Oryctolagus cuniculus: one gene and its partner. The protein of the gene in region 1 interacts with the protein of each later gene in a pairwise test. Links are inferred from orthologs where the notes say so. Each region holds a gene or a part of one and is shown in the gene's direction. Other genes may lie near its edges.

Region 1 (8,079 bases):
CGGGCGCCAGAGGAGTTTGGAGGCGATGTCTTTGGCCAGAGGCTGGAGAATCCGAGAGAAAGGGAGATGTTAAGGGAACGCGCCTGGCGGGAGGGTCCTTGGGTGTGGGTTTCAGACTGCTCAGCTGCTCCTAGGCTGGGGGGTGAGCCGGCTGCCGCCAGTTTTTGCCAAGTAAGGGAAGCTAGGGGACACTGTGGAAAAGGGTCGTTCAGACGTGGCATGTGCGTCCTCACAGACCAGCCTGTTCTCAGTGGGTTTCCCCAACCAGTTTTCTGCAGGCAGCTTGAGCCTGGGGCTCTAAGCCCCCCTTCCTGGCCCCCTGAGGTCCCTCCGGAGATTGGGAACGCTCCCAGCCAGCAGCTGCCCCGCATTCCCTGCGCTGTCAACCCCACAGGTTCCCAGCCTCAACCCCACCCCCACCTCCTCTCCATTCTTTTCGCAAGATGGGGGCTCTAGAACAGAGAAGCCAGTTTCTTCTCCTTCTCGGCAAAACCCCCTACCCCCACCGCCACCCCCCTCACAGAGGCAGCCAAGAAAATGACTTGTCATGCTGGGGTGGGGGTGGGGGCGGAGCCGGCGCCGAGCTCAGCGCGCACACTCACACACACTCACACACTGCGGCAAACTGCAGCTGCCGGCCCCCCCAACCCCCACCGCCTCACTGCGGAGACACCTGCCCTCCCTGGGCCTGCCCAGCCCCGCGCCCCTGCCCCTTTCCCTGGAAAATGGAAAACTCAGGCAGTTCCCTTTACTGGGCAGGCTAGGGGAGCCGGAGAGAGAAACAGGGCTTTCTCCCAGGCCTGCAAAAGATATAAACCATGTAGCTGCAAGTCAGAACCACTCCCTAGCACAGGGCTGGGGATGGGGTCTGATGTTGGGATGTGAGCTGGGCTCAGAGAAGTCTGAAGTCTGTGATTATAAAGCCGGGCTGGGGGGAGAAGCGGGTGTCAGGAACCAAGTCGGTGTGTACTGTAGATATTCCTTGGAACTTTCCTAGCTCAAATGTGTGACCTTGTTTGTGAAGGGGGAGCTTCTGCCCTTCTAAATCTGAACCATTTTGTGCTGGCGGCTGCCAGGACCTTGGTGTCCCTTACCTGCCCAAGCCCCGCCCCTGCATGCCTCTGAGGAGTTCTCGTCCTCTGCACTGACCCCGGAGGTTCCCTCCGTTTCCTAGTTATTAGATGAGAGCGAACCCCTAAGCTCCTCTGAGGCCCAGCTCACCCCGGTACAGAGTTGGGCGTCTGACACCGGCCACAGTTCATTTCCCCCGCAGCTGCGTCTGCAGCCCTGTGCTGCCAGTTCTGCCTGATGCTGGCACGGTGGCTCTTCCCCCCCGTGTAACAGCCCCCGGAGAGAAGAGAGAGCAGAGAGCGGGGTCACAGAAAGACGGTCTAGGGCACAGATGATGAGCCCTCCCACCAGGATCCTCCAGAGAGCCCCCTCCCTGGGCCACCTATGGGACTGCTGTTGTGCAGGTGGTGGCTGGGGGAGGGGGAGGAAGGGCAGGAGCAGGGGCTGGCCGCATCCTTCTTCCCACTCTTCTGTCTGACCTGCTTTTGTGCTAAGTTGCTTGGTGTTTCATGTGGGTCTGGAGAAGGAAGCAGAGAGGGGATTTAGGGAGTCTTTTTGCACAGATTGGGGGAAACTCTGAACCTCTCCTTCCTTATTTACCTGTTTCTTGTTGTGAACACCTCACTCTCCATCTCCACGGTAGAAGGTACATAGGTGAGAAGAGAAACTGTTAGTCCGGGAGGGATTGTAGGGTAGTAAGCCTGGGGACGTGGGGGAGCGGTGGGACAGGGAGCTGGGAACAGAGTGACTGCGCGCGTGTGAGTGCAGACTGGGCCTCGGAGGAACCAGAGACCACAGCAGGAAGTTACAGTGCTGTGTCCACTCTTTGGACTGCTAACCCCCAAGGACTTAGATAACACAGGCGTCTCTGAATCCTCTGGAACAGGAGTTCTGGCCTTGAGCGGGGGATTGGCGAGGAGGATGTGTAGTCTGCAGACGCCGAGGTTCCCAGCTCCTGGTTTTCAGATGTTCTTGCAGCCAGGAAGCCCAGGGCAGAGGCCGGGCAGGAGGGAGCTGAGCGAGGCACATCTCCCAGGAGCCCTCTCTCCAGCTGAGCTGCCCATCCCCAGGCAGCACCAGGAACTCAGGGCTCTGGAGGGACAAAGGCTTCTTGTCAACAGGGCAGTCTGAGGGGGGCGTTCCAGGCGAAGGGATGGGGGCATGGGCAGCAGAGGCTGCGGCCAATGAAAGGGGAGAGACGACAGCCAGTGTGGGACCGGGGAACCCAGAAAGGGAAGGGCTGGAGGGCCCGGCGCCCGCACCTCACTCAGCAGTGTCCCAGGCAGCAGGATCTGAGGGTGGCCAGGGCCTTCCTTCCCCTCAGCCCCATTTTCTTTCCTGCCCCACACAACAGATGCCTCTGCCTTTTAGTCTCCGGCTGCTCTCTTCACATTTCTTCCTCTCTCTCCCTCAGGCCAGAGGACCCTCTGCCACCAGAGTGAGATCCTAGAGACTGTGATCCTGGTGAACCCCAGCGCAGACAGCATCAGCTCTGAGGTGAGCCCAGGGCCTGTGCCTTGCCAAGGGGCCACCACCGGGGCTGTGAGCCGCCCTTGCCTGTGCTCACTTCAAGGCCAAGAGTTCCTCCCTCTGCCATCTGAGCTGACTTCCGACGCCTGGCTTCCATGGAGGTGTTACAGGGGACACTGCTGGCAAACATGTCCAGGCAGGACTGAGCACGGGACCAGGCAAATTCAATGTGTTTTCCTGGGTTCCGCACATCTGTGACCATTCGTGTCCCTCCTTCCACCCAGGTTCGCCATTTTCTCAGCAGCCCATCGGCTCACAAGCTACTGATCTTGAGTGGGCAAAGCTTAGAGCCTGGGGGAGACCTCATCCTGCAGAGCGGCACCTACTCCTACCAAGACTTCGCCCAGGTCCTACATAACCCGGAGGTAAGCTCCACACCCAAGTGTCTATGGGGAAGCGGCTGTGGGGCAGGCCCCGAGCTGTGGGGAGGGACCCAAGGAAGGGTGGGTCTCATTCTGCTTGATCGTCAGGGGCCCCTGGAGAAAGGTGAAGATCAGGGACCGAGTCGGAGTCAGGCTGACAACCCAGTGACCTGATCAGGCTTCTGTCTCCATTCCTCCAGATTGCTCAGTTGCTCAGCAATAGAGACCCTGGGATCCAGGCCTGCCTCACCGTGTCCTGCTTAGGGGAGGGTGATTGGAGCCATCTGGGACTATCCAGTTCCCAAGAGACCCTGCACCTCCGGCTCAACCCTGAGCCCAGGCTGCCCGCCATGGACGGCGTGGCTGAGTTCTCTGAGTACGTCTCTGAGACCGTGGACGTGCCGTCCCCTTTCGACCTGCTAGAGCCCCCCACCTCAGGGGGCTTCCTCAAGCTCTCCAAGCCTTGCTGCTACATCTTCCCTGGTGGCCGCGGGGACTCAGCCCTCTTCGCTGTCAATGGGTTCAACATCCTGGTGGACGGGGGCTCCGATCGCAAGTCCTGCTTCTGGAAGCTGGTGCGGCACCTGGACCGAATCGACTCGGTGCTACTCACCCACATCGGGGCAGACAACCTGCCGGGCATCAATGGCCTCCTGCAGCGCAAAGTGGCAGAGCTGGAGGAGGAGCAGTCGCAGGGCTCGAGCAGCTACAGCGACTGGGTGAAGAACCTCATCTCGCCCGAGCTCGGCGTCGTCTTCTTCAACGTGCCCGATAAGCTGCGGCTGCCGGATGCCTCCCGCAAGGCCAAGCGCAGCATCGAGGAGGCCTGCCTCACACTGCAGCACCTACACCGCCTGGGCATCCAGGCCGAGCCTCTGTACCGTGTGGTCAGCAACACCATCGAGCCTCTGACCCTCTTCCACAAAATGGGCGTGGGCCGGCTGGACATGTATGTCCTCAACCCCGTTAAGGACAGCAAGGAGATGCAGTTCCTCATGCAAAAGTGGGCAGGCAACAGCAAAGCCAAGACGGGCATCGTGCTGGCCAACGGGAAGGAGGCTGAGATCTCGGTGCCCTACCTGACCTCCATCACGGCTCTGGTGGTCTGGCTACCAGCCAACCCCACCGAGAAGATCGTGCGAGTGCTTTTTCCAGGCAACGCTCCCCAGAACAAGATCCTGGAGGGCCTGGAAAAGCTCCGGCATCTGGACTTCCTGCGCTACCCTGTGGCCACCCAGAAGGACCTGGCCTCTGGGGCTGTGCCTGCCAACCTGAAACCCAGCAAAATCAAACAGCGGGCAGACAGCAAGGAGAGCCTCAAAGCCGCCACCAAAACAGCCGTGAGCAAGCTGGCCAAGCGGGAGGAGGTGGTAGAAGAGGGAGCCAAGGAGGCCCGCTCGGAGATGGCCAAAGAGGTAGCCAAGACTGAGAAGAAGGCCAAAGAGCCCACCGAGAAGCCCCCAGAGAAGCCTGCCAAGCCTGAGAGGGTGAAGACGGAGTCCAGCGAGGCTCTGAAGGCGGAGAAGCGGAAGCTGATCAAGGACAAGGTCGGGAAGAAGCACCTCAAAGAGAAGATTTCGAAGCTGGACGAGAAAAAGGACAAGGAGAAAAAAGAGATCAAGAAGGAGAGGAAGGAGCTCAAGAAGGATGAAGGAAGGAAGGAGGAGAAGAGGAAAGACACCAAACCCGAGGCCAAGAAGATTTCCAAGCCAGACCTGAAGCCCTTCACCCCCGAGGTACGGAAGACCCTCTTCAAAGCCAAGGCCCCTGCAAGAGTGAAGCTGGACAAGAGCCGGGCTGCCCGTGGGGAGAAGGAGCCGCCTTCTGAGCCCCGGACGCCCCCGGCCCAGAAGGCGGCTGCGCCACTCCCATCAGTCGCCGGGCACCGGGAGCTGGCCTTGTCCTCACCAGAGGACCTCACCCAGGACTTTGAGGACCTGAAAAGGGAGGAGAGGGCTTTGCTGGCCGAACAGAGGGACACAGGACTAGGAGAGAAACCACTGCCTATAGATTCTACACAGGAGGGACCCCCCAGCCTGGCTCCCCAGGGAACACAGCCCTCTGTCCCTGGGTGGGAACCAGAAGAGCGTGCGATAGAAAAGGAAGCTGCCCCAGAAATCCCTGGGGAACAAGGCAGCAAGGACCAAGGCCCGGACTCTGGGGCAGAGACAGAGGAAGAGAAAGAAACCTGTGAGGAGAAGCAGCAGCAGGAAGCAGAGAGACTCCCAGACAGACCAGAAGCCAGAGAGGAGAGTGAGCCCGAGCTGAAGGAGGACGTGATCGAGAAAGCCGAGGTAGAAGAAATGGAGGAGGCACGGCCGTCAGACGAGGAGGAGGAGGAGGAGACGAAGGCTGAGGGTCTGTACCAAAAGCATATGCAGGAAGCCTTCAAGGTGACTGCCAGGGACAGAGAGGCTCTCGAGGGCCGGGAACTGGGGCCCCAGGCTAAGGTCCCCGAGAAGGAGACCGCATCATTCCTAAGCAGCCTGGCCACCCCTGCGGGAGCCACTGAACATGTCTCCTACATCCAGGATGAGACGATCCCTGGCTACTCGGAGACGGAGCAGACCATCTCCGATGAGGAGATCCACGACGAGCCCGAGGAGCGCCCGGCTCCACCCAGATTCCCTCCAAGTACCTTTGACCTCCCTGGGCCTGAAGGTGCTGGCCCCTTTGAAGCCGGCCAGCCTGCAGACAGTGCTGTTCCTGTCACCTCCAGCAAAGGCTATGGGGCGCCGGAGACTGAACTCCCCTACCCCACCAACCTGGTGGCCGCGCCACTGGCTGAAGAGGAACACGTGTCCTCGGCCACCTCAATCACGGAGTGTGACAAGCTCTCTTCCTTTGCCACGTCAGTGGCTGAGGACCAGTCTGTGGCCTCGCTCACAGCTCCTCAGACGGAGGAGACAGGCAAAAGCTCCCTGCTGCTCGACACGGTCACGAGTATCCCCTCCTCCCGCACCGAGGCCACCCAGGGCTTAGACTACGTGCCGTCGGCTGGCACCATCTCACCCACCTCCTCGCTGGAGGAAGACAAAGGCTTCAAATCACCACCCTGTGAGGAATTCTCTGTGGCTGGGGAGTCGGAGAAGAGAGGAGAGGGGGTGGGGAGAGCATTGCCTGGGGAGAGAGCTGTGGGAGAGGAAGAAGAGGAGCCAGCAAACGCAGAGGTGTCTGAGAAACTTCACCAGCAGTATGGCTCCCCGATGTTTGGGGCCCCTGGGCATGCCCTACATCCAGGGGAACCAGCCCAGGGAGAGGTGGAGGAGCGGTGCCTCAGTCCGGATGACAGCACAGTGAAGATGGCCTCTCCGCCACCATCCGGCCCACCCAGTGCTACCCACACACCCTTTCATCAGTCCCCCGTGGAAGAAAAGTCGGAGCCCCAAGACTTTCAGGAAGAAGACTCCTGGGGAGGCACAAAACACACACCCGGTATGGACACGGAAGATGCTGCAAAGGAGACAGTCAGGCCAGGGCCTGAAGAGGGCACCCTAGAGAAGCAGGGGGAGAGGCCTGTTCCCAGGAGCCCCCAGGCCCAGATGGCACCTGTCGATATTCCAGGGGGACATGCAGGCCGCACCAGTCCATTGTTGCCAGTACAGGATGGAGCAATAGTCTTCGAGACCACAGAGGCAGGAGAGCCCACAGGCCCAGTTCTAGCAACAGAAACCCTTCCCAGAGATTTGAAGCCGTCGCTTCAAGAACCTGGTGAACCTCAGAAGGAGGAGGTACCCCAATTTCCTGGCCAGAGCCTCTCTCCTGAAGATGCAGAGTCCCTCTCTGTCCTCAGTGTGGTCTCCCCAGACACTGCCAACCAAGAGCCCACTCCCAGGTCTCCCTCTGGCCTACACAGAGACTTTTGGCCAGCGGCTTCTCCACAAGACACCCAGTCACTTTCTCTTTCCGAGGAGAGTCCCAGCAAGGAGACCTCTCTGGATATCTCTTCTAAGCAGCTCTCCCCAGAAAGCCTCGGAACCCTCCAGTTTGGGGAACTAAGTCTTGGAAAGGAGGAAAGGGGGCCTCTGATGCAGGCTGAAGACACTGCTCACCACCCGGCTCCTGTTTCTCTCCCAGAGCCTCATGCAGCCACATTGTCACCTCCCAGAGATGAGACCACTGGCTACTCCACACAGGGAGACATCATGTATGAGAGCCCTGATAGAAGATCACCTGCCAGCTCCTTCTCTCATCCTACACTGTCAGGTGAGGAGAAGCACTCACCTGGCGTGGTCACAAGCCCTGGCGAACATATTATGACACCTGATAGCTCCATCACCAAGAGTCCAGAGTCTCTGCCAAGCCCTGCCATGGAGGACATTGTCATGGAGTGGGAAGGGAAAGTTCCACGGTTGAAAGATGGAACCCCCGAGGAGAAGGACAGGGAACCCGAACAAAAGGATGAAGTTGTACAGCAGAAGGACAAAACCCTGCAACAGAAGGATACTGCTGTAGAGCAGGGCACAGCCATCTGTCAGAAAGATGAGGCTCTGAGAGCAGGGGACGAGGCTGTGGAGCAGCAGGGTAAGGCTTTAGAACAAAAAGGCAAAGACATAGACCAGAAGGATGTGTCCCCAGAACAGAAGAGCAAGGCCCCAGAAGTGAAAGATAAAGACTCGGAACAAAAAGACAAGATCTTGGAAATGAAAGACAAAGATGCGGAACCAAAAGACAAGGCCCAGGAAGTGAAAGACAAAGACTCGGAACAAAAAGACAAGATCCCGGAAGTGAAAGACAAAGACTCGGAACCAAAAGACAAGATCCTGGAAGTGAAAGACAAAGACTTGGAACAAAAAGACAAGACCCCAGAAGTGAAAGACAAGATCCCAGAAGACAAAGATGATGCCTTAGAACAAAAGGGCCCACCCCTGGAACAGAAGGACAAAGACTTAGAACAAAAAGACAAGGTTCTGGAACACAAGGAGAAGACCCCAGAAGAGAAAGACAAAGTCTTAGGACAAAAAGTCCAAGACTTTGAACATAAAGACACAGCTCCAGAGGACAAGGTTCTGGAACCTAAGGGCAAGACATCAGAACAGACAGACACAGTCCCTGAGCAGAAAGACAGGGCCCAGGCACAGAGAGAGAAGGCCTTAGAAGAAAAGGATCAGCCTTT
Region 2 (6,049 bases), on another chromosome or scaffold:
CCTTCTGATGGTTCAACCGATGCGGGCCAGGATGGGCCCTAGAGGGTAACAGCCACTAGGTTGACCTGTGAGTGGCACTGAAACCACAGGCTCCCTCTCAGCTGCCTGCGTGGGTTCGCCTGGGTGACTGTTAGAGTGGATCTGGAGCTGAGGTAAGAGCCCCCCAGAAAATCCCCACTGAGCTCCTGAACAAGCGGGTCGATCCTCCAGTCACCTGCTGGCTGGGTCCGGAGGACGCTGGCGCCCCCACCAAACCACAATCCAGAGGCAGACAGACAATGGGGCAGTGAGCTCGCCGTGATGGGCAGGTCTCCCTTCGGGTTTCCAGACCAGAGGTGAGGGCCACGTCCCGCAGGGTCCCCGGGGCAGCTGCCTGCAGCCCTGCTGGTTTGGGGCGATGGACCCCCAGCGCGCGCTCACTCGCACCTGCGAGCCCTGGGCCCCTGCCCCACCGTTCGCCGGCTCAGTGGGGTTTAGGGGGCCAGATTCTATTGCACTCTTCGTTCGGACACGGCTCTGCCTTAACAAACGGATCCGAAAGAACCACGCAGAGTTTCGGCCAAATACCCCGGCCTGCCCCTTCCCATTCATCGAACCAGCGCTCGCCCACTCGGTCTCCTTTCCCTCACCTTCGCCCGGCGACCCGAGCTGGGGGGTCCTGAAAGAGGAGGGCAGGGGCTTGCAAGGGCCGGGAGGCTCGGCCCAGGCCCACCCAGGTTGCAGTGGGCGCCTCACGCCAGGGGCTCAATCCCAGGGCAAGGGCGCCCCGGGAGGCCCGAGCACAGAGCGGCCGGCTCCAAAAGGGCGAAGAAGAAACCTTTCAGTTTGGAAACAAAAGTGCGTGTGTGGCCGTGCGTGTGCGTGTGTGTGTGGTTGTTTACTTACAAACAAAACCACGTTACGGGAGCCGCCCCTCCCCCGCCCCAGGTCCGACCACCCGCGGGGGGTTGGCCAGAAAGCCCCGCGATTCTGCTCTAAAAGGAGGCGCCGACCCCCCACTCCAAAGTGCCGCCCCGTCTCGGAACCCGCGGGCCCAGACCCCGCGGGCTCTAGGCAGCCAGCCCTCGGGCCACGACGAAGGCGGGGAGCCGGGGCCGCCGCGGCCCCGCAGCGCCGGCGGCCGCGCAGACTCCACGGTCGCCGCCTCTCCCAGCCCCGCGGCCAGGGCCGTCAATCAAGCCCGTGCGGCCCCGCCTTCGGGCTGCAGCAGGCGGCCAATCAGAGCCAAGCTCCGCAGCGATGAGCTCAGCCGGCTCGCTTCCTATTGGGCGGCTATATTAAGAAAGTGGCCGGACTCTTTAAATAGCAGGCGCTAGGGCCGCAGCCCGCATCTGCCACCGCAGTCTGGCTGGAGTCGTCGGCGCCCTGGTACGCGCGGCCCGGGACCCGGGAGGGGGAGCGGGACCGACCGCAGCCCGAGCCCTTGTGGCGCACAAAGCCGCCGACCCCGGCCCGGGGCGTGAGCCGCGGCCGCAGTCCGCGAGCAGCGCGGCGCGCCCTATGCACCCGCGCCCCCGCCGCGGCAGCCTGAGCGCCCGGAGAGAACGCGCCACCGCGGGGCCTGGGTGCAGCTAGCGACCCTCGCCCCCCAGCGCGCCGCCGGAGGTGAGCAGTGAGCGAAGCGAGCGGGACGGCAGCGAGGCGCTCGCGGGCCCCCTCCTGCTGCCCGGGCCCGGCCGGCTCATGGCGGCCATCCGCAAGAAGCTGGTGGTGGTGGGCGACGGCGCGTGCGGCAAGACGTGCCTGCTGATCGTGTTCAGCAAGGACGAGTTCCCCGAGGTGTACGTGCCCACCGTCTTCGAGAACTATGTGGCCGACATCGAGGTGGACGGCAAGCAGGTGGAGCTGGCGCTGTGGGACACAGCGGGCCAGGAGGACTACGACCGCCTGCGGCCGCTCTCCTACCCGGACACCGACGTCATCCTCATGTGCTTCTCGGTGGACAGCCCGGACTCGCTGGAGAACATCCCCGAGAAGTGGGTGCCGGAGGTGAAACACTTTTGCCCCAACGTGCCCATCATCCTGGTGGCCAACAAGAAGGACCTGCGCAGCGACGAGCACGTCCGCACAGAGCTGGCGCGCATGAAGCAGGAGCCCGTGCGCACGGACGACGGCCGCGCCATGGCCGTGCGCATCCAAGCCTACGACTACCTCGAGTGCTCCGCCAAGACCAAGGAGGGCGTGCGCGAGGTCTTCGAGACGGCCACGCGCGCCGCGCTCCAGAAGCGCTACGGCTCGCAGAACGGCTGCATCAACTGCTGCAAGGTGCTATGAGAGGCCGCGCCCGCCCGTCTGCCCCCGCCTGCGCGGCGCCCCCTCCCGGGCCGGTCCCCCAGCCAGCCGTGGGGAGGGGAGGCCCACGCCCCTGCAAGGACCCCACCAGACTGCCTGGCGTCTGCGGGCGGCTCTGGCTCTCGCGCCGAGAAGCGCGTGGGCACCGGGCGCCCCCTTCCCAGTGTCTGCGTGCGTCCAGCTGTGTGGCACAGGCCCGGGCGCCCCCGCTGAGTGCCAAGGGTCCCCTGGACATCCTGTTCTGAGGATCAGAGCCTCAGAGCGTGTGACTGCGTGTACGTTCTACTGCCCCCTCGCTCACATTGTCACACCACCCCCGCCTCGGGTCCCCCCGGGGTGGGGGTGGGGGCCGGGGCCGCGCCCCATCGGATGTTAGCCCGTAACCCGCGAGCGCCTGCTATCCCTTGTTTGTAACATAGACCCCGGGAATTGCGGGAGGGAGGGCTGGGGAGGAGGAGGGGGGTGTTCTATAAATACAGATATAATTTTATTTTCGGAGGTAAGATGGTGTTATTTAATGGTCGTGGTGGGTGGAGTGACCAGGGCGTTAGAACAGCTCTGGCCCCGGGCTGGGTCAGGCGCCCATCCAAGCATGACCAGGACTTGGCCATCTTTCTGAGCCCTGGGGAAGACATTTGCAACTGACTTGGGGCTGAAGGGACACAGCTTTTAGAAGCAGCAGGTGCTGCCAGCCCCCAGCGAACCTCTCTCCAGCAGGAGGAGGGGCGGGGCGTGTGCTGGGGGCCTTGTTGTTGCCATAAGCGAACTCTGTGCCTGACAAGTGAAAACTGTTCAGTCCAAGAAACGGATGTTTTTTTGATTTATTTAAAAGCTGAAACTTTTTTTTTTTTTGGAAAGAATTCTTTGCACAGTTGTTTCATTGTTTGACACTTAATGCACTTGTCATTTGCATAAGGCAGTAGCATTCTGTATGCTGTAACCTCATCTACTTTGGATTTATTTTTTTTGAATGATGATTTTGAAAACAAGGAAAAGAAAAAGAATTTACTAATTTTTCCTTGGTTTTCTCGAGAAAAGTGGCACCACTGTTTTGAGATTTTATTTGTGCAGGTCATGCACACTGTTTTGATAAGGGACAGTAACCCGTGTTGGGGCCTATTGAGAACTTTTTTGTTTTCCCTGCAAGGCAGCCTCTGCAGCTATGTGAAGTTTTCTCTGCTTCTCTGTACAGAGAATAAACCTGCCCGTTTCTCCCCTCCCTCTTCCTGCCCAGTGGTACTTCTACTAAACTGTTGTCTTGTTTTTTTATTTTTCCAATAAACTGACAAATGACAAAGTGGTGAGCTTATGATGTTTACATAAAAGTTCTATAAGCTGTGTATACAGTTTTTTATGTAAAATATTAAAAGACTATGATGATGACATTTATAAAATGGCTCTTGTGGTTTAATGCTCTGTAGTAAGGTATCCTTGTGCACGTGGGACAAGGGGAGAGACCCTTTCTGGGCAGTGACTGTCATAGCGGAGGGCGAAGGTCTGGGGGGCTCTGCGGGTTGGGTCATCAAGGGAGACCAGGTTGTTGGCTGTCACAACCCCAGAGGAAGACAAGCCGCTCACTCATGGCCCAGAGCAAAAACTTCAGCCTGATTAGGCGAGGCCAAAGGTCTTGGTTTTGTCTCTGTCTTAAAACCACTGTGACTATTGTGGACTTGGCTTCTTTTAGACTTGAGAAGCTGTCACTTGCGTGTTTTCAGTTTAGGTAACATTTCTGGGGCTGGTTGCCTGGGCTCCTTCCCATCCTCCAGGTCTGCACACCACCCTGTACAGTGGCAGGTTGCTCTGCCTGGGGCTGGAGCTCCAGGGGCTCTCCTGGGGAGGGTTCTCTTCCGATGGAACTTCCCTGGGAAGGTGCCACAATGAGAGCCTGCCCTTCTCTGAGAAGGGCCGGTTGCAGACAGAGGGCTGGATGTGGTGGTGGTGGTGGGCGGTGGGAGTTATTTCAAGTTGGAGCAGCTCCGCTTTGGGAACCAATTAGGATGAGCTCTAATTTCAGACCCTGAGCCTTGCTGCAGTGGTTCTCCGAACCAGACAGGCCGATTTGTTCTTGGAGACCACACGAAAATCCCGCTGCAGGCGGGAGGACTCAAACCTGCCGGCGCAGAGGAAGGTGGTGCCAGCCTCCCCCACCTGCCTCCCAAGCGTGGCTCTGTCTGAATCGGCATTTTCCACGTCTCCGCGCTCTGTTGCCACCCTCTCCTCTCCCACACCCAGGGCCAAGGCAGTGGAGGTCCCTCTTGAAGTTGTTTGCTTCAAGGCTGAGGCTCGTTTCCCCTCTCCCCTGCGATTTCCAAGAGCTTTTGTTGAGTGAAGAAAACCTGGTTGTTGGTGGTGACCTTTCACCCACTTAACACAGGCTGAAACAGGCCTGCTCCACTGGGTGGGTGCAGGGCCAACAGAGGGGGATTGTTTGGACTCCTCCAGGAGCCACTCCTTCCTCGGCCCATGGCTCCACTCACCTCCATCCCATAACCTACTTTAAAACAAAACTTCCCATTGAAAGACAATGTTTATTTGCAAGTTTTTACAGCCAGCAAATCCTTTGGTACCAGGGAGTGCAGGGATGGGTAGGGGAGTGCTCAGGCCTGGGCTGAGTGCCCAGCACTCGGCTCTGCAAGCAGCCAAGAGCCTGGAGACTTGCCCCCCCACCCCCACCCCCAGAGGGCCTTTCTGGGTTTCCCGCCTGTCCCATCTGCCTGCTACCTAAAGAGTTCTGCTTTTATATTTTGGGGAGACAACCACCCGGAAGAAGTAGAGCAGCCTGGTGGGGCCTGTTTTAACTGCGTGCCATTTAAAAACCCTGCGGAACATACTCTTCTTGCTGTGTTAGGGCCCAAGTGGAAAACAAAAAAACCAAGTTGCTCTAGGCTGGAAAATCAATTAGGGGGGGAAAAAAAGGTAAAACATCTGGTGTGACTCTTAGAATATGAAAATTCATTTTGCACATTTAAAAGAAATGTGCTGAGTTCATTTAATTGCCTGTTGAAACGATTCATGGAAAATAGTGGGAAGTTTCATTGATCCTGGGTGTTTTATAGCAAGGGGCGTTGTCTCGGGTTTTCCTTTAATCTCGATCTCAAATCAGTCTGGATTGCATTTCTGAGGTCTTTTTCCCATGTGTTTCGGTAGACTGAGAAAGGATGCTTTATACGTAAGTGTGACCAGAATCCTGCTAGGGCTGGTCACAGCGCGGATTGCTGGGCCTGGCCTTGGCGGAGTTTCTGATGCAGTAGGTCCAGGCTGAGGGTTCGGGAATTTGAATTTCTAGCAGGGCCCTGCATGACGCTGATGCTGCTGGCTTGGGGGCCCGCACTGTGAGAAGCAGCGACTCGGACAGAGGGAGAGTCCCCGTCGGTGCACACAGGAGGGAGAGGGTGTCTATGTCAACGCGGCTCTCCCGACAGCGACAGCGTTGCAGCCAGCAGCTCTGGCTTCCTCAACCCTCAGGGGATACAGACTTTCCCAGAGCTTTCCTTCCAGGCTACACCACACAGACTCTGTCTTCTCACCCTGCATGCTTCTGCCAAAAGGCACTTGATTCCCTTCTAGAAATTTCTCTTCGCCATTTGTGAATTCAGAATGCAGCAGCACCCTGTAATTCAGCTGGCCTTGGCCCGTGCTTCATCAGCTCTGATGAGGAAAGAAGAAAAAAAGCAGCGAGAAGCAGTCCTTGCCCTCGTGAGCCACTTCACTGGTGGGCCAGGCAGTTGCAGGAATGCGTTCCCCAGGAGCAGGCCAG

Evidence for each region. The genes of interacting proteins can lie anywhere in the genome.
Region 2: the proteins of MAP1A (region 1) and RHOB interact in a two-hybrid assay, tested with the Homo sapiens proteins (2 studies listed by BioGRID and IntAct). The link is inferred for Oryctolagus cuniculus from reciprocal best matches to the Homo sapiens genes MAP1A and RHOB.

The regions. Positions count from the first base shown.
Region 1 is NC_091443.1:66,494,071-66,502,149, forward strand, and holds the start of MAP1A (microtubule-associated protein 1A), read left to right. Parts: upstream 1-3,313; coding exon 3,314-7,508; coding exon of another isoform or gene 7,509-7,655; coding exon 7,656-8,079. UniProt on the Homo sapiens protein: Structural protein involved in the filamentous cross-bridging between microtubules and other skeletal elements.
Region 2 is NC_091433.1:182,131,850-182,137,898, reverse strand, and holds RHOB (rho-related GTP-binding protein RhoB), read left to right. Parts: upstream 1-1,315; 5' UTR 1,316-1,683; coding exon 1,684-2,274; 3' UTR 2,275-3,686; downstream 3,687-6,049. UniProt on the Homo sapiens protein: Mediates apoptosis in neoplastically transformed cells after DNA damage. Not essential for development but affects cell adhesion and growth factor signaling in transformed cells. Plays a negative role in tumorigenesis as deletion causes tumor formation.